4 linked regions of the Saccharomyces cerevisiae S288C genome follow. The gene in region 1 interacts genetically with each later gene. Each region holds a gene or a part of one and is shown on either strand. Other genes may lie near its edges.

Region 1 (4,335 bases):
GCCTTTATCAACAATGGAATCCCAACAAGTCTCTCAAAATACACCCATTTCTCATAAACCAATTGTTCAGGCATTTATACGTTTAGATAGCCCAGCTATAGAAGGCGGAGTTTTACCTCATGTTGCTCAATCTGTTCGTTTTCTTAGGTTTCATATGTGTTCTATGAACGTTCAGGATAATGTATTGTCATGCTGACGTATCCCATTCTGAGATGTAACGTCTGTACAAAACAAAGCTTCAGTAGCTCAGTAGGAAGAGCGTCAGTCTCATAATCTGAAGGTCGAGAGTTCGAACCTCCCCTGGAGCATTTTTGCCGAGCACGGTACTTTTTTTTATTCTCAGTAAATGAAATCCAAGGGCTCATTTATTTGAGAAAGTAAATAAGGTATTAGAGGTAATAAAGTAACCATGGGCCAAGAAGACATATTCATAAACTTATGAAAAAACTTTGTAGGTATTAATAACTTATGGGTAAATTACTATCTATGAATGAATATTTACTATTTACTAGTGCTCATCTGGATATTAATTTAGACTTTTCAACGTCTCTCTTATAATATTTGTACATTTATTAACATCATCATCATTAAATCTAGGCTTGCCATCTTCTTCGAACATATCTTCGTCAGTAAACAGGGTGCTATCAGTAGGTTCTTTAATGTTATTATTTTCCACCAATTCCGTCAGTAAAGTTTCGTCAAAGTTTTTGGGAAACGGCCAGCCTTGGTCTTTTATTATCTGTATCAAAGCCATATGCCTGATTTCAAAGCCCCCGAAGAGTATCTTATTGTACCAGGAGCGTGCTCCTTTTTCGTCTCTCATTTTGACATAATGCATTACCATTGCAGAACAAAATTTAAACGTTAAAGGCACCCCATTTTTATGCATCACCTGTAGCAATTCTGATAGTTCAGCCTGCGTTAATGTATGATTTTTATAGGCTACTATGGAAAAGGGACATAGCGTGGTAGTTAAAACCACTTTTTTGGCGAAAGGTTGAGAATAAAAATCCAGAAGAACATTGTAGGCCAGCCTTGGTTCACGAGCTTGGAATCTAATATAATTTAGGAAAACATTGAGGATTCCGGTATCATTTCTCCAATACCTGTATTTATGAGCTTCCTCGGAAAGAAAACTCTTGTACTTGTAATATAAATCAAGAAGACAATTCTTGAATTGACCACTTTCCAGTGAAACAGAACTCGAAGATAAAAGGCTTCTATACAGTTCAGTTAAAATTGGAACAGTCACTGGTGATCCTATTCGCATTGTGTTCGGTAGAATATTATTTTTGTTCTTCAGCTCTCTTGCTAACGTAGGAGCTGTCAAAGTCGTTGATTTTGAATGATAGAGCCACCCCCAAATCCCTAGGGCATTCAGAATATTAGCAGACGCCTTTGAGCTGTATGATGAGAGGAGATATTTACACACCAATTTCGGGTCACGAAAGGCTTGAAAAGATGCAATTAATTCACCCATTAAAAACTCCTTGAACAATTTATATTTCATCAGTGGGCTGCTTTGTAAGCAGGAAATTACATTGAAAAGCTCCTCCTGCCTATTAGATATTCGGAGCAGATTCAAGTAGTGGTGAATGGGAAAATTCAATATGTGTTCGTTTCCATCAATGTGATTAAGCAATCCTGAGCTTACAATGAATTTCAGTTCCTCTTGAAAGGTTTTGATGAATAACTCAACATTTCCACTTTTCAAAAGGTAATAAAGTAAGGTATTGTTGAACTTGACATAACGCAGGTTCTTTTGCTTTGCTCCATCTTTACCAGAATAACAGTGCTGTTCCAACTTCTGTAGTAGAGCTTGAATAAATACTTTAATGAACCTAAAATTTTTCGCCTTAACAAGGCCATTTACTAGAGCGATTAAGCTGTCAAATGTATGCAACTTCAGAACTTTTTCCATTATAAATTTTATGTTTGTCTCATCATGCAAAAATATTTGGAACGTGGCTAACTGCCTCTCCATCTCAGTTCCTTTTATCAGCCTATTGGTAAATCTCGTACAGTAGTTAGAAGTAAAGAGAAGAACATCACTTTTCAAAAGAAAAAGATAGTGATTAAAAGATTCTGATTTTGGAATATGATACCAGAACCATCTGTGGACCTCACCTGGTAGATAAAATCCAATTTTTCTTGCCACCTCTGGGTATAACTCGTGTTGATGCAAAATGATATCATATAAAAGTTTCTTCTTTTCATTTTCTGAGCAATTATTTATATGCAGGGCATTTCGTAGAGATTCAAAAAAAGAGGCGTATTCAGTTACTCCAAAAGTCTCACTTAATACAGTTTTCAATTGTCGGAGCTCGTATAAACGCTTCTGAACATTTTTCGAAGATCCGCTCTTCCTAGAACATGGCACCTGTCGTTCAAAATCGCCAAACTGCAAAGGTTCTGAACGATTTGATTTAATTTTCAATGGACAGTTTTTCGTAGATAAATGGCGCAGATTTGTAATAGGTAGAATTGTGTATGTCCCTGCGCTACCCATATGTTTAAACAGCGGTGAAGTGACCATTTGAGCCAAAGGCTGGGAATAGACACGGCATATACATTTTAACATGCCAATAAGAACATTAAAGTGAACGCTTGGAAGATTTGAAAGCCCATTCTTGCCAGTACGCCAATAAAGTGTGTCGCGCAGAATAGATCTTCATGTAATTCCTTTTTCCCTTTTATGCAATCTATAATGTTAATCAGCGTAGATCACTATATACGCTTTTTTTTTTTTTTTTCAGCTCCGATTAGAGAGCAAAAGAGATGTAACATCGATCCTGCTATAATTAGAATACAAGTGTTGATCTTTAATTGTACTGTTTCTGCGAAAGCTATCGAGCATTTGGCTGTATTCCACTGTCCATTGTATTTTTAACTCTCCTTTTTATCATTCTGAAACATAGAGCTGTTTTGACAAAATTCAGTTTTTTCTCAATTAGTGCTTTCATTCATACGTTCGTTACAAGCTTTGAATTTTAACTTTATTTTCGGGCTTCCACCTTTGCTTCATTATTTTACTTCAGCTCTTTAGCTTTCTGTGACATTCAATTTTATTGTATGACAGCACGTCGTTTGATTAATATAGTTCCTAATACGTCTAAGCTAGACCCTTTAAAGGAGGAGGACTCAACGCATCTGAAACAAAATCAACCTAAGAAGTTTTCCACAAAGGAGTTGATGCTTTCAGAATATACCGAACGCAAAAGTTGCAGCCTTCCGTTGTCTAAATCCCGATCAGGCAGTAGTGCATCCAGTAGCACTACAGGTTCGAACGGAAAGAATATTGGAACAAGACGCCCTAGCTCCAACCTAGATTTCAATTTCGCTAGCCAAGATGTTGTTAAAAATGTATTAGGTAATAATAATCCACACGTACCCACAGCGAAGTGCATTAGGCCAATATCAGATGATTCTATAGGTACATCGAGCACAGAGATATTTTCTTCATCGCACTCAAATACGACATCTGATTCTTTATGTACATCAGATATAAGCTCAGAAGAGGGTGAAATAGCAAACAGTAAGATGGAGGATAACTGCTTCTTCAAAAGTATGAGAGAAGCTGACCATAGAAGCAATATTACGCCCTTAAAGAAAAGCCGACCGGGATCAATACTACAGAAAACACGTACAGCAAGTAGCGCTGATAAAACAATCTGCTCAATGAGTACCATAACTACATGCATTCCATCTCGTCAAAATTCGGTGTCAACTCCTAAACTCTCCAGGACAGTAGGGCTGCCTGGATCGAGCAATACAACCAACAGTATAGCCGCATCACAAACTTCATTCATAAGCGAGAATGACTCTCCTCTTAAACATCATTGCATGAGTACCGCAACTATCCAAGAACCAAAACTCATGCCGATCACAAAAACGCCGTATGTGCATTCCAATAGTACTTCTGTAATATTACCATATAAAACAACCCAACTTACTCCTTCTCAACGTTACCGTTTAAGGAAAGAGCAAAATGACCAATCTTTGCGTAAAGCCATAAAAATGAAAGAAAAATTTTATGAAGATCAAGACGTTAACTTGGAACTTCAAGAGGGCGATGTCGACGGCTCGTTAATTTGGAACATTCCAATGGCATCTTTATCGACCAGTTCTTTTTTAACATTATCTAAGTTTAATAGAAAAGAAATGAGTTTAGATTCAGCGCGGGGGGATGAAGAGATATTAATACAGGAGAACAATTGCGAAGGCAAACAACACTCATCTTCGGCTCTCTGTGTGGACAAAACTTTCCATCAGGTTCATAGTACTAGAAAACATACATCAAATTCAAGTAACACTTTAAAAGAATCATGTCTGGAC
Region 2 (6,715 bases), on another chromosome or scaffold:
TGTGATATTCTAAAGCGTAGCGAATAACAGTTAATGTAAGTGGTAATTAATAATTGTGTACAATAGTATGATATAGTTAGCTGAAAAAAGAAACAGTAAAAAGTTTGAATTGATTGTATTATTTTATTTAACAAAGTTAATATCCAAACCTTTTTTTTCGGCAGTTCTCATACATAAAAATAAAAAAATTTGCATCAAGAACTTTTACTAGAGTGTAGACGAATAGTGACAATTAGTACCATGAATATAATTACTGCCGATTGCAAGGCTTCTTGGGGTCTTCATTATTTAGTTTGAGGTATTGTTTATTTGACCTCCATGCTCCTTACAATTGACGTTGTTCTGTCCACACCATGAAAAATATTTAAAGGGCACGAAATGTTAAACTAGCCACAGTATATTGTGTCAAGAAAGAAAAATAATTCTATAAGTACGGTGATGGAGGTAGAAAATGGGCTTCTGAGTGATTGATATGTAAGAAACCCAACATACAATGCGTGAACAATTTCGTTCGTTTAAAAAGACCTACCTACTTGTCTTCGCTGCGTGCAGCTGCTAAATCGGACTCGTGAGAAGCACTACGCGCTGGCAAAGCGTCTGGAATATTGCTAGCACCAAGTAGGTCTGTCCGCAACGTATGCTCTTGTTGAGATGTGTCAACATCTTCTTGCTCAATTTCAGAATTACTACCTTGACCTCTGAAACTGGATAAATCGTTGGAATCTTCATGGAAGCCATCTGGTTCATCTGAAAGCTGATCATGAAGCAGCGAAGAGTAAGTGGCACCTTTTTTGTTGCCAAACCTTGCCCTAAATTTTGAAGAAAGTTGCGCTGTACCTGCCTTCGCGCGTTGAAACGCAGACTTGGTGATTAAAGAAATGCATAATCCTAGTCTTACAATGATGTTGACAACTCTATCGGTCCTATTGTTTTCTATCAGCCCATCGTCTCCTAATCTGATTTCTTCAAATCTTGAAAATCCCCCATTTCTCCTGATACCTCTATCGTATACAAACCATGCGACAAAGAAAATAACGAGAAGAATTGTAACAAAAACCAGCGCATAAGCGCCGGTGTTTATAGAGTATTTTTCCCTGAATGCCTTTTCTTTTCCCGGACAAGGATGTGGTGCTAAATGTGCATCCAATTTCAGCCCACCTTTACAGGTTGATAAGGGAATTTTCCGATAGCCGGAGGAATCATAGTATTCAATTAAGTCGGGTTCCTTTTTGCAGATATCGGCACCATTCGCCGAACTTAAGCCTTTGACTAATTTACAAGTACCATCACTGGCTTTATAAAAATTATAGTCACATTCGAAATCTTGTCTTGTACATGGACAGTTTTTGACGTTCCTCGAAAATTCAGAAAGTGGAATATTCCCAATAAAACATTTTTCATCGGTTTTACGTAAAAATTCTGTTTTATGGCCAAACAAACAACCAGTTCTGGAACCCAGAGGAGAGTACTTAAAATCTGCCCTTTTTCTACCGGTAATATCAAACTCACATTGCCTCTCGAAGATGTTTCTAAAATCAATTGTATACGTTCTGAATGAACCACTACCCATGTTTTTTGCTTCTCCAAATAGCAAAAACCTCAAAGCAGAATCTCTGGGAACGGTGATTATATCCTTTACGAGGACTTTGTCGCCACAGAATTTATAATCTTTCCATGTTTTACCAAAATCGGTGGAGTAAGAAATAGAATCAGTTTCTGCGTTTTCGGGGACCAAAACCAAGACTCCACCATGATCACCGTACTCCCATTGATGGGGGCCTTTTTTAACCTCAGTCCACGTCTCTCCTCCATCAGTGGTTAGAAAAGTGGAACACTCCTCATATGGTAGAAGCCTATCGCCAACATTTCCGACACCAAACATCATTCCTAACGCGGAGCCAGAGGAATATGTATCCCTGATATCCTTACGTTCAGTGTAACCATGCAAATGTAGAGAACATTTATCTAATGACACAGAATCACAGGGAAACTTTTTCCCTTCCGAATCCTTCTTTGGAGGCTTCAAAAAGTTCCAATCTGAACCGTCATTGAAGGTGATTTTCGTCTTCAATTGTTCGTCTTCCTTGTTCTCGCCAACCTTTTCGCTATTCGAAACGATGTTGGTGATAATAATACCTTCAAGACCTTGAACTTTTTCAAAGTCCACATAACCGAATGTGTTTCTATTAACGGCATGCTCTAAGGTGACAAAAGAAGTACCATTCGAGTTGGATTTCAAAAGGTTTCCGAAATCGTGTCCTGATTCCAAGTTTGTTGCTAAATGTAAAAATATTGATCCTTCCTCAGATCCTAAAATAGTGAATGCGTCTTGCTTACCAATATCTTCATCATATGGGAATTTTGCCTCGGTAAACTCAGCACCATCATTAGTTACATACGCCCTCAATTCATTGTCTTCATGAGGTACGGCAACAATGATATAGCCACCAGTAGACAAGTAGCCGATAATGTTTTCAAAGACAGTTTTTCTATCATCTTGGAAAAAGTCAGTAGAAGAAACTAAACTTCTTGTTTGCGAAAACTTTTCCTTTACTTGGCACATAACCATATCGTCATTTGACGGATATTTGAATAGTGTTCCTGCAAACTCACAATGAATTGCATTATCAAGCATTTCTGTAAAAGTTTCACCCCCATCTTTGGTGAGGTATGCCACTGCATGACATTCTGGACTTAAAATTGATTCACAATTCTTACCACCATAGTAAATAAAAGTATCCTGTGCTTTAGCACTAAAATCTAGTGGCATGCCTAATTGCCTGGCTTCAGGTAATTTAGCTATCATGAAAGAGTATCCTCTATCGTGTGTTAAGAATATGTTACCTTTAGAGCCAAACAAATATGCTGAAGAATTGAAGTATGGGTTAAACACGATTTCGACAATTTTTTCGCCGTCAGTGTCAAACCTTTTTATCGTTTGTCCACCATCGTGGGATATATAGGCGTCTCCTATCGAATTCAGCATGACCAAAGATTCGTCGGCAACTGTATCGAAGTATTGGTAAAATTTAATTTCAAAGTCGAATTTGTTTTCAGTAGTCACTATTTCCTTGTCACTCGAACCCTCCTTTGGAATTTCGTCACACGGAATGTCTACGGATTCAATTTTCATAGGTGTTTTACATTTATCACCTTTGATTAATTGTAGTGGCTTTACTAACACAGATTTACCCTTCGATTTGTCACATATATCGGAAAGGGCAATCAGATTATAATCTGGTATACAGTCACCCTTCGCATCTCTAACGAATTCAAACGAACATTCGTAGTCGGATCCAGTACAACTGTTACAAGGCGTTTCATCTAAACTCAAATCTTTGAATGCTTTTTTTACCAAACACTGGGCGTCCTGTTTCCTCCTTCTGTACTTGTATTTGGCGCCATTAACACATTTTCCATCTGCTAGATTCCAATCTTCAAAATCACCCTCTTCACATGATTTATAATCAAATACCGCTGAAAAATCAATTGAATATGTAATGAATATTGGATCTTCTGTAATGGACGTTCCTGTTAGAATAAATTTTGAACCAGATCCATCTGATATTGTGCTGACTAATCTGTATGGATAAATAGGCATGATTAGATCATATTCACCCCATGTCTTACCTTGATCCAAGGAATAATAAAATTTAGAAGGCACATCGCCATTTTCATTCGAACGATATGGAATATACATGATAATATTTCCCAGATCACCAGTAGTATATAAACCAGTGGAATTATGGACTAACCTCCATGTTAAACCACTATCCCTGGAGATGAAAGTTTTTTCTTCTTTCCAATTGTATGCACTGCCGTCGCCAACAATACCCGATATCATCATGATTCCGGCAGAGGGATTTAAATTTCTTAGATCATAGAAATGAGTCTGAAGCGAACATCTCTCGGGTTTAGTGACATCACAACCAAATAAATCTACATTTTCCCGGTCAACAACTTTCAAGTTTGTCCATGTGAGACCGTTATCAACAGATACTTTAGTTTCCTCTCTTACTTTCTGTCGGCTGTATTTCCTTTTTCTATCAGAATATTCAATGAAGGGATGAAACGAACCAAAAAATGTTCCTTTTAAGAAACCTGGATAAGCTACATTGATATATCCAAACTGATTGTTTGGTATCCAATTTATAGGCAAAAATTTTAGTCCTTCAGAATCTGATATTAACACTTCAGCAGCTCCCGGTTGGTTGCTGTCTTCATCATCTCTTTCTCTAGATACAGGTAAAACGATTCTTCCGATGGAATCTTCATGAATTTGTCCCATATTAACGTGCCGTATCTTAGTAGGTGTACGAGCCACTTGAAAAGTGGATACATCATTGGATATCCAAATGTTTGTTGATGACATTTCATTATACATATCATCTTGTGTCAAAACGATCACATGATGCTTAAGTATCTCGTATCGACTAACAACCTTATCTTTGAACTGGACTAATTCTTTGAATGTTTCACCTCCATCGGCACTTAAAATCAATTCAGACTTGTCAATAGTTGAGCCTGTACTTTCAATGTACTCAGTGTTTCGGAAAAGACAGAGTATCGAAGCATCATTACCGCCCAGATCAGAATCCTCACTAGATTTAATAAAGTCACAGCGTGCCGTGCTAATATGACCATCAATTTTTCCAAAAGAAGGTTTAACTTGGGAAAAGGATACTCCATCATTAGTTGTGTAAATCTCTCTTCCAACATACATTAAGCCTGAGTTTTTTATTGTCAACAAATCACAACGAATAATAAGATGCTTCTTTTTTATAGGGTGAGTAGTTACGTCGCAAAAATAATTCGATGCTTTCTCAGAAATGGGTATAGTCAAAGGCCTCCACGATTTACCTTGATCATCCGTGACGTAAAATTTTGGTGCCGTTTTCACGAAAGCAAAAGCTCTATCATGCCCACGGAAGGGATCAACAACAAATGACTCGATAGGCTCTTCAATCTCATCTATTGTTTTCCAATTTTCTCCAGCATCAAAACTTATCTCGACAGAGTCTTCTTCTGCTCTGATCAAAGTGTTTGAATCATCAAAGTTTACTATATCGAATACATATCTTGACAAAGTTCTGGTAACCTTGGGGGTGAATTCTTCTGCATTGGACAGTGGAATGAGTAGGAATACCCAAATAATATACAGGGCACGAAACAATGCCATTATGGGTGTACCTCTACCTTTAATATCGCTATGAAGCTTTTTTCAGGTCTCGAGACCCTGCGTTGCGACCCAACTGACAAAAAAAAGAAAGCGGACGGGATATATATATATATATATATATATATATAATTGACGCAAAGGGTTGCAACATTGTCTTGAGAGCACTGAGCCACGAATTTTGCATTCCTTGAGATTCGGTGACTTTGGTTCGAAGATGTTCGCTTCTTGGTCAACCATCAAGATAGTATGGTGATCATATGTTCGCTAAAGCCAATAAATATGATTGCAAAATCAGAAAATGGTATTTTGGGTTACTAGGGTCACCAGGAATACAGTGCAACTTATAACTCTGACGGTGATGAATTTGATAATAAATTCAAACGAAGAATTGTTCTTGAGGTGCTATCACCTTGAGCAGTTTTCGGAAGAACGAATTTCAAGGAATGATTTTTTTTTTTTCATTATATTCAGTTGATGCTGCTCAATACGACGTTAAACTGTCGTCATAGTGCGAATGCTGGCTAGATACGTCGGTTTCTTAGACTAAATCATATACGTCTTATTGAAATACGCCTACATAACTTATCCAACCTTGTCTCCTTTTCCAACGTTATGATTCCGGATCTAAGTATAATTTACTCAATAAAATGTGTATGAAGGAAGTGAAGACTCGACAGACCCGCTTACCAGATATTCTTTCTAAACAATAGGGTTTACCAGTACCCCTGAAAATGATAATGGACATGTGCGGCTGATCGCGTTAACTACGTATGCAGTTGAATCAAAGCCATACCACAGAAAATGGTACAAGAACCCACTGGATGGAATAGTGCTGGCTATCAAACTAATATTTTCTTTCCAGCTCTTGGGGGACCTCTACTGCATTATATCGTAGTTTCCGCTTAGTCTGTTTATCGCCTGGGAAAAAGGAGTGTAAGAAGCAGTCAAGTGCGGCGCAATCTTTCGGACAGCGAGCCGCCATTATAGGCGGGAATTCTTGAAGAGTATCGCTGGATATTATTGCAGTGTATTAAATTTCGTCAAGTCTTTGCCAATGGAAATGGGTGCGTAATTTTAGGTGCTTGGTACATATGAGTTCAAAACATATGTAGTAATTGGATAGTAGGTAGTAAGGACACATAATCATGGAAGGGTGACTCACAACGAATCACATAATGGGTTAGGATCGTAAACTTCTACGACTGCAGGCAACTCTCAGCACATGATTTCTTCTTCATTTTTTGGTATGGAAAAGGAACTGTATTTTTTTCTCATGGGTTTGGAAAAACAAAGAGCTCCTCTTTGATGGGGTTGATTGTCAGGCTTATTTGAATGAAACTTTGGTAGCCATTTGTTCTCAAAGGAATCTGTGTTGGCTGGGTTATTAAACGTGGAACTTTGGAAATACATCCAAGAGGCACAATTGAGCTCTAACGATGAGCCGTTACGATAAAGATAGAGACATTTCTTTTGACTTAGAAATTACAAGGAGTATCAACTATTAATATATTTTTCCTAGAAAACGTTTTTAGAATA
Region 3 (4,128 bases), on another chromosome or scaffold:
TGAGATGGGCCACAGCAATAACAACAGCAACAGCGCCATCAACATGAATGAACCCAAGTCTGCGGATACATACATTGGAAATATATCTCCGGATACTTCAGCAACTGTTTCATTAGGCGACCTGATGGGCTCAAACGTTTCAAACAACAGTGAAAGAAATTTTTACGATGGTCATACTTTCGTTCCACAGTATCAGGCGAACTCATCTGTGGAAAACTCAAATAATCAAAATGCAGCACCAATTGCAAATAACGACATTGATAATAATTTACAGTCTTTTTATTTTGATAATAGCAACTAAAAAAGGAATGAAAAAAAAAAAAAAAAGTTCAAAAATAGTAACAGATATCTTTCGAAAAAGTTAAAAACTGGTAAAAAATTTTGAATAGAGTATATAAAAACTAATAAATATGTTTAGTTATCATACACCATAGAATAACTACTAGAGATATTATTTCATTTTCGTTTTCATTTTTTTTATTTTTTTCTTTTCAATAAGGTAACAGAAAGTTATTTATGCATTCTTGTTCTACATGTCTTATGTATACTAATAAGCTACTACAGGTATTTTGGTAGTATGGCTTTTAAATGAGTTATTAATTCTTGATCAGTCCCTGTAGGATTATCAAACTGCCACCTAATCGCTTCGTTATTAATTTTACCCAGCCATGGACCTGGCTTCATTTGAAGTAGTTTTGCCATTTGTTTTCCGTCCACTATTGGTTTTAGTTCATGACAATTATTCAAATTATTGTCAAATATGTAAGAATAAAATTCATTGTAATTTTGGAAAAGTAATTCAATTTTTTTAGTTTCAAGCTTGGGAATCTTTAAAAATGCATCTGATAGAGATGCAAAATGTGCTGTTTCCCATTCGCCATTAAAGTTCCGTAGAAATATACCGATTTCGGATTTTTTTAGCTGGGAACGATCTGCAAACTTAGCAAGTATTTCCTCATATGAACATATTGAATCTACGGTCTTGGCAATAACTGCTGCATCATTTTTACTCAGCTTCAATCCTTCCTTCACAATGCTTTCTGTCACCGAAACCAGGTTGTTAATTTTCTTCTTTGGGTTCCCGATTATTTGTAAATTAGCCATGGGGGACAGGATCGCACTCAATATAAAATTTTGCTGAAATCCTGGCGAACGACCAATTTTTTCCCTTAAGATAGGAAGCTTCTCTAAAAACATTGGATATAATTCAATAAAACTTTTCAAGTGTGAGTTTAGTATGTTATCATTGTATACATGATTAATTTTGTCCATATCTTGACAATTCTCTTCGTTGAATTTTACGACGGAGCTATCATTATGCCAAAAAAAGATAACATTTTCAAGATGAGCCCTTTGAATCAGCTGCAAAGCCAATAAAGGGGTTGGTCCTACTAATATTTTCTCCATCTCCACACCAACTCGCTCTCTAGAAATTTTTGAATTGAATGCAACATTAATCTGAGGATCGCCCATTTCAGCCATCACTTCCGGATCTATGGTAAAGTTGAATCTAGAAGCAAAACGGATCAACCTCAAAACCCTCAAGGGATCATCCAAAAATGTTTGTTTTGCAGGAAGCGGAGTACGGAGAACGCCATCTTTTAGATCTTGCAGACCTCTCTTGGTGAAATCTTCCACTTCACCTTTATGAATGTTATAGAAAAGAGCGTTCAATGTAGCATCCCTTCTTAAAGCGTCTTCCTCGGGTGTGCCAAAGCACACTTTAGGTATCCTGGAAAGTTCAGTATACTTTTCAGATCTTAAATTGACAAAATCCACTTCAACGCCAAAGAGCTTAGTAGTGGCAGTTTCCAGATGCTTGGATTTCTCGGGATTCTTGTCAATCTTGTGGATATTATGAGGCTTGGCTCCATATTTGGCGTAATGTTGTTGCAAATACTCGTTCAAACCAGTAGCAAATTGCTCACCTGACATCACATTGATGGCAATATCCAAGTCGTGAGAACCTTGTCCCAGAAGCTTGTCACGCACCCATCCGCCCGTGATCCGAAGAGTCAATGGCTCAGGCTTATTGTGGTACTTTTGATTGTACAAGTCTGTATAATCGTTCAGCAAGTTACAGATGTTCTGTTCCACTTTGGTTAAGGTGATTTTGGGTGCATTTAGAACAAAATTAGAATTCGTCATCGTTTTCTGAGCAGCACTATTCATCAGTAGAGATATAGTAGACCGTAGCATACACAAAAAAAGCCCTTATAACCCACGGATACGAATTAATCTCGAGGGAAGCGTTGCGATGTATTATGTAGTTTCCTTTAGTACATTGTTAATATGGTAGATTTTTGCGATTCATTTTTCAACTTTTCAACCCTAACGAATGTTTTTTAGGGCTGAGTAACGACAAGAACACAACCCTAAAAATCAGATGACCTAAGGGTTTGGTGAATCGAGAAAGTATGCCCTATTTCCCCCGCCCATACACCCCATAAGCCTTAACCGCAGCCCTCCTCTCCCCTAAACGTTTCTTTTTCTTTTTCCATTTTTTTTTTTTTTTTAGTTTTACTTTCTTTTTATTCGGAAAAATCTTTTCTATATTTTTCAAGGGTAACCTCATCGCCATGCAATTAATCACATAGACTCCTTAAGTAACAATGGCAAGGCGATAATTTTAAGAGAATTGCAGACGCTGTACATAGATCGTTATCAGCAAAACATATATTCGCATCGAAGGCGTTGCTTGTCCCTGAAGTAGCTACTTGCGGTTTTCATCAAGCGGCCAATTTAATCATTCTATCAGCATTATTTTAAAATAGGGGGACTTAACCTTTCTATTAGTACCACTTATTTTATAGATCTGCTGGAGAAAAATAAACAGATAAAAAAAAGGGAAAAAAAGAATAAGACTGTCTTGGTGAGGATATTCAGTTGCGTGAAATCATGACGAAACTAATCGCTCCTTCAGAAATCGTGGGCGGAGTGCCCGTCTTCAAACCCACATACGAGCAATTCGAAGATTTCTATGCATACTGCAAGGCCATAAACAAATATGGCATGAAAAGTGGTGTTGTGAAAGTAATCCCACCTAAAGAATGGAAAGACAAATTAGATCTGCCTTATTCTGCGGAAACGCTCCAAAAGATCAAGATTAAATCACCTATTCAGCAGCATATTTCTGGTAATAAAGGTCTTTTTATGGTGCAGAACGTGGAGAAAAACAAGACCTATAACATTATACAGTGGAAAGATCTTTCTAAGGACTATGTGCCTCCGGAGGATCCTAAAGCAAGACGTAATTCTAGGAAAGGCTCCGTTTCCAAATCCACGAAGTTGAAACTGAAAAATTTTGAATCGTCTTTTAATATTGATGATTTTGAACAGTTCAGGACGGAGTATACAATAGATTTATCTGACTTCCAAAATACGGAGAGATTAAAGTTCTTGGAAGAGTATTATTGGAAAACGCTAAATTTTACTACGCCTATGTACGGCGCAGATACACCAGGATCAATCTTTCCTGAAGGGCTGAACGTTTGGAATGTTGCCAAACTACCGAACATCTTGGACCATATGGAAACAAAGGTTCCTGGGGTGAATGACTCCTATCTATACGCTGGTCTATGGAAGGCTTCTTTTTCTTGGCACTTGGAAGATCAGGACCTGTATTCCATAAATTATATTCATTTCGGTGCCCCAAAACAGTGGTATTCGATACCGCAAGAGGATAGGTTCAAATTCTACAAATTCATGCAGGAGCAATTTCCCGAAGAAGCCAAAAATTGTCCTGAATTTTTAAGACATAAAATGTTTTTGGCTTCGCCCAAACTGCTGCAGGAAAATGGCATACGATGCAATGAAATTGTCCACCATGAAGGCGAATTCATGATCACTTATCCCTATGGTTACCATGCAGGGTTCAATTATGGATATAACTTGGCAGAATCCGTCAACTTTGCTTTGGAGGAGTGGCTACCGATTGGGAAGAAAGCTGGAAAATGCCACTGCATTTCAGACTCAGTGGAAATAGATGTTAAGAAACTCGCTAAATCTTGGAGGGACAATAATAAAGAGTCGAAAGGAACGCCACCCCTCAATCAATTACCCAATCCTGCCATGCCCTTACTTCACAGGCCAACTTTAAAAGAAATGGAAAGCAGCTCGCTTAGATCT
Region 4 (3,916 bases), on another chromosome or scaffold:
ATGGCAGGTGTGCCAAGGAAAAAAAATATGAGGAACTATAGCCTAAAATGAAGCCTCCTCTGATGTGGGAGGGACCCCAATTTAGGTCAATAATGATTTTTTAAATTTATATTCTTGTCTTAATGAAACTTGAGTCAAGTCGACCAGTTTCCTGACGATTTTGATATAGAATAATATTGCTCGTTTGGCCGGCAACAGATTACATAAGAAGCAGATGGATGATATAAGCGGAAGGCAAACTTTACCTCGAATAAACCGTTTGTTGGAGCACGTGGGAAATCCCCAAGATAGTTTGTCAATCCTACATATAGCGGGAACAAATGGTAAGGAGACAGTATCTAAATTTTTGACATCCATATTGCAGCATCCGGGGCAACAGCGGCAAAGGGTCTTGATTGGTAGGTATACTACATCTTCCTTGCTAAACGCCAAAGAAGAGGATATTAGCATTAATAATGAAGCCATTTCCTTGATAGAGTATTCTAGGATCGAGAAGGAACTTATAGAAGCAGATAGTTCTTTGAAATTACAGTGCAACAACCTCGAACTGCTAACAAGCGTAGCTCTCGTATACTTCGCTAAGAAAAATTGCCAATGGTGCATAATAGAAACTGGTTTAGCTGGAAAACAGGACCCTGGAAGTATAATTGCTGGTCAAAGTAGAGTCTGTTGCGCCATTACTAACGTGGGCATTAGCGATGAAGCTTTTTTATGCAAGTTTTTGTCTCAAATTACTGAAAGTTCCACAAATAAAGCAATTTTTCTATTAGACGGTTCTAATGACGAATTTGTACGAAATACGATAACGAAACGGTGCCATGATGTTGGATGTCCATTAGAAATCACCGACCCTTCTCTTAGGGATTACAATGTACACACAGACACATGGGGCACTCTTGAAGTTCGCCTGCCATACAGTGAAGAAGAATATCAAATATTTAATTTGAGAGTTGCGATAGCGGTTTTAGACTTTTTGAGCAAGGAAAAAAAGGTTTGTATTTCAAAGGATCAACTATCCCAAGGTTTAATATCTGTGGATTGGCCAAGAAGTTTACATCGCTTGGATTACTGTTATGAATCTACTAGTGGAAAGAAAATCGCATTACTATTAGACAACGCAAATAATGCGAAGGCAGCTCGAAATTTAGCCTGCCATTTAAGGACCACGTACGGTGATACGCCATTAACATTTGTCATTGCTATAACAACTGGGAAAAAGGTGTCTCCCTTACTTGATCCGCTAATACGTCCACAAGATTATGTTATTGTGACTAGATTTGGGTCAGTGGTTGGAATGCCGTGGATCCAATCCCTAGAACCGGTGAATCTTCTCGCATTTATCAAAAACCGGTATACGAGAAATGTTAACATGCAGCCGGATCTTCAAAGTGTCTGGACCTTCCTTGAAACAAGTGGGTTAAAGACGATTGTTCCTGTTATCGTATGTGGATCACTGTATATCTGCAAAGAGCTATTGCGCTTACACAACTGTCACTTGCCAGTATAGTTTTTAGATATATGATCATATCCTACAATGCAATTACCGATATTGATAGAGGACCAGTCTGCCAAGGGCATCCGGGGATATATCATATTTTCCTTCTTTTATAACGGCATGTAACTTTACTTTTACTTTAAACTATGGCATTACATTCCAGCTTTTCAAGAGTTATTAGTGATTCATTACTTATAAAGTTTTTCCGACCACATTTTGATACTTTGTACCTGATATAGATAAAACAATTACCTTATAAATTGATTCTCTCATATTTATCTTGATGAGAAAACGATTGAGGAGATTTGTGTGTAATTTGGTTCTCGTAACAAATACCATTAAATAATCCTTGACTAGTAATACATACCAAACAAAGAACGATTTGCGGATACTCAGCCGCACGAAAATTTCTAAAATTGAACTAAATCCTTTAGGATATATAAAAGGGCACAAAGTGAGAACGTAAAAACAGCATTATAAAGATATTGTAATGAAGAAATTTATGCTCATTTAGTATGTGGAAATACCTTCATAGATCAGTCAAAAATGAAGGGACCGTAGAACGGCTCACTAACCTCAACTTATTTACCAATCACCGTTTCAAGTTTTATTCTACATTAAAGGAACAAAGTTTTTGGAGAATACCATTCAAAAGAAGGAGCAAATTACAGAAATGGGTGTTATCGACAGGCATCGTAAGTTTCATCGCTTTTAACATATGGTGGGTTTATTGGCCACATCATACTTTTCCCAAACCCGTTGCTAAAATATTAAGGAAGGGGTTACATTCAGAAATTAAGAAAGAAGGTGCGAACTACCAAAAAAGCCTTGAGTACTACCTCGAAGCTTTAGAAGAATGTAAAGCCGAAAACGTGGATCTACTTTCGGATGAATATACCGGTATTGAAATCAAAATCGGAGAAATGTATGAGAAATTACATATGTATAATGATGCTACAGCTTTATATGGAGACATGCTGAAAAAGTTCTATAATGAACTAAGCAAAACTACTGATAAGTCAACGAAGAGAAAATTCTTTTTGTTGAAAAGAGACCTTCAAATTTTGGTAAGGTTCAATGAAATAAATAAAGACTCTGAAACTAATGCAACGTTATTGATAATGCACCTTTTATTAGCTCAACGAGAATTTTTGGAGAACTCACCGGAGTTCAAAAATGTTCTTTCCAAATCAGAACTTTTAAACAACCAACAGCTTGACTGGAAGAATTTCAAGGGTCTACCATTTATTGGTAAATCCAAACCTGACTACCAAATGCATTTAAACTCTAAAAGAAAACAGGAGTTGAAGATAAAGGAACCTGAAAGCGAACAATGCGTTTTCATGAAAGAACTTCTGACTGCAAGAGATTTATATACTCGTTACTGTCTCAATCGGAGTAATCTTTCTGGGGCCTTGAATAGCAAAATAACAACACTAGAATGGATGTTACTAGCGGATAGTCCTCTGGACGACATCTTGCTTGCCCAGGCAGAGCTCGGGTCGATTTTTTATCTAAATTCAGAGAAGTTCGAAGGAAGTCTATACGCTATTGATAATGAACCGTACAAAAAATCAGAACCTTTAGAACTTATTCGGTCCAGGTTACAAGAAAACCAGAATTCCTGCTTACAGTACTCGGCTGACTGCTATAAAAGTATTATCAGCTTTGCCAATGAAAATCAATATCCAAAAGTTGCAATGGAAAGCGAAATGGATCAGAGAATACTTAAGGCATTATCCCTTGCTCACTACGGTATTGGTGTGATAAATTTGCATAAGGGACGCTTGAGGGCATCTAAGAAGGAACTTAAAAAGGCTATTCGTATTTCAGAGATGATTAGATTTAATGAACTCATTGAGGAAGCTCAACGTGAACTTAAAAAGGTTGATGGTACGCCTATATAAATCTTACATTTGTATATATATTCTTCTAAATTTTCATCAATATGTTGAAATGCCGAAAGATGTCGATTCCTCATTGGATATGGCGAATTTTACGTCACCGCCTCATGAACAAAAGTGAGAAAAATACATATATAGCGTCAAAATCAAAACAAATGATGAATTTACTTGCAAAGACTAAATGTGTAAGGGAATAGGTATCAGAACATTAAGTGAAGGCGCCGAAAGTAATATCAGTAATGCTTCGCACGATAATATTGAAAGCCGGGTCCAATGCCTCCATACCGTCACCTTCCCGCCAAAATAAGTTACTCAGGTTCTTCGCCACAGCCGGCGCAGTCTCTAGGACCAGTCCAGGAAGCATTAAGAAGATTTTCGACGACAATTCATATTGGAGAAATATTAATGGTCAGGATGCTAATAATAGCAAGATCTCACAATATCTTTTTAAAAAAAATAAAACCGGACTTTTCAAGAACCCTTATTTGACTTCTCCAGATGGTTTGCGTAAGTTTAG

Evidence for each region.
Region 2: mutations in ATP22 (region 1) and VTH1 together harm fitness more than expected from each alone (negative genetic interaction), as found in Saccharomyces cerevisiae (one large-scale study listed by BioGRID).
Region 3: mutations in ATP22 (region 1) and CCA1 together harm fitness more than expected from each alone (negative genetic interaction), as found in Saccharomyces cerevisiae (one large-scale study listed by BioGRID).
Region 4: mutations in ATP22 (region 1) and RCI50 together harm fitness more than expected from each alone (negative genetic interaction), as found in Saccharomyces cerevisiae (one large-scale study listed by BioGRID).

The regions. Positions count from the first base shown.
Region 1 is NC_001136.10:1,175,594-1,179,928, forward strand, and holds ATP22 (Atp22p), read right to left. Parts: upstream 2,582-4,335; coding exon 527-2,581; downstream 1-526. Other genes in the region: SBE2 (Sbe2p), read left to right, coding at 3,073-4,335. UniProt on the Saccharomyces cerevisiae protein: Translation factor specific for subunit 6 of the mitochondrial ATPase. Required for assembly of the CF(0) component of the ATPase.
Region 2 is NC_001141.2:9,956-16,670, reverse strand, and holds VTH1 (signal sequence-binding protein), read right to left. Parts: upstream 5,180-6,715; coding exon 530-5,179; downstream 1-529. UniProt on the Saccharomyces cerevisiae protein: Functions as a sorting receptor in the Golgi compartment required for the intracellular sorting and delivery of soluble vacuolar proteins, like carboxypeptidase Y (CPY) and proteinase A.
Region 3 is NC_001137.3:520,471-524,598, forward strand, and holds CCA1 (tRNA adenylyltransferase), read right to left. Parts: upstream 2,200-4,128; coding exon 559-2,199; downstream 1-558. Other genes in the region: BCK2 (Bck2p), read left to right, coding at 1-301; RPH1 (Rph1p), read left to right, coding at 2,899-4,128. UniProt on the Saccharomyces cerevisiae protein: Nucleotidyltransferase that catalyzes the addition and repair of the essential 3'-terminal CCA sequence in tRNAs, which is necessary for the attachment of amino acids to the 3' terminus of tRNA molecules, using CTP and ATP as substrates. tRNA 3'-terminal CCA addition is required both for tRNA processing and repair.
Region 4 is NC_001143.9:191,165-195,080, reverse strand, and holds RCI50 (Rci50p), read left to right. Parts: upstream 1-2,010; coding exon 2,011-3,402; downstream 3,403-3,916. Other genes in the region: RMA1 (putative tetrahydrofolate synthase), read left to right, coding at 215-1,507; OCT1 (metalloendopeptidase), read left to right, coding at 3,639-3,916.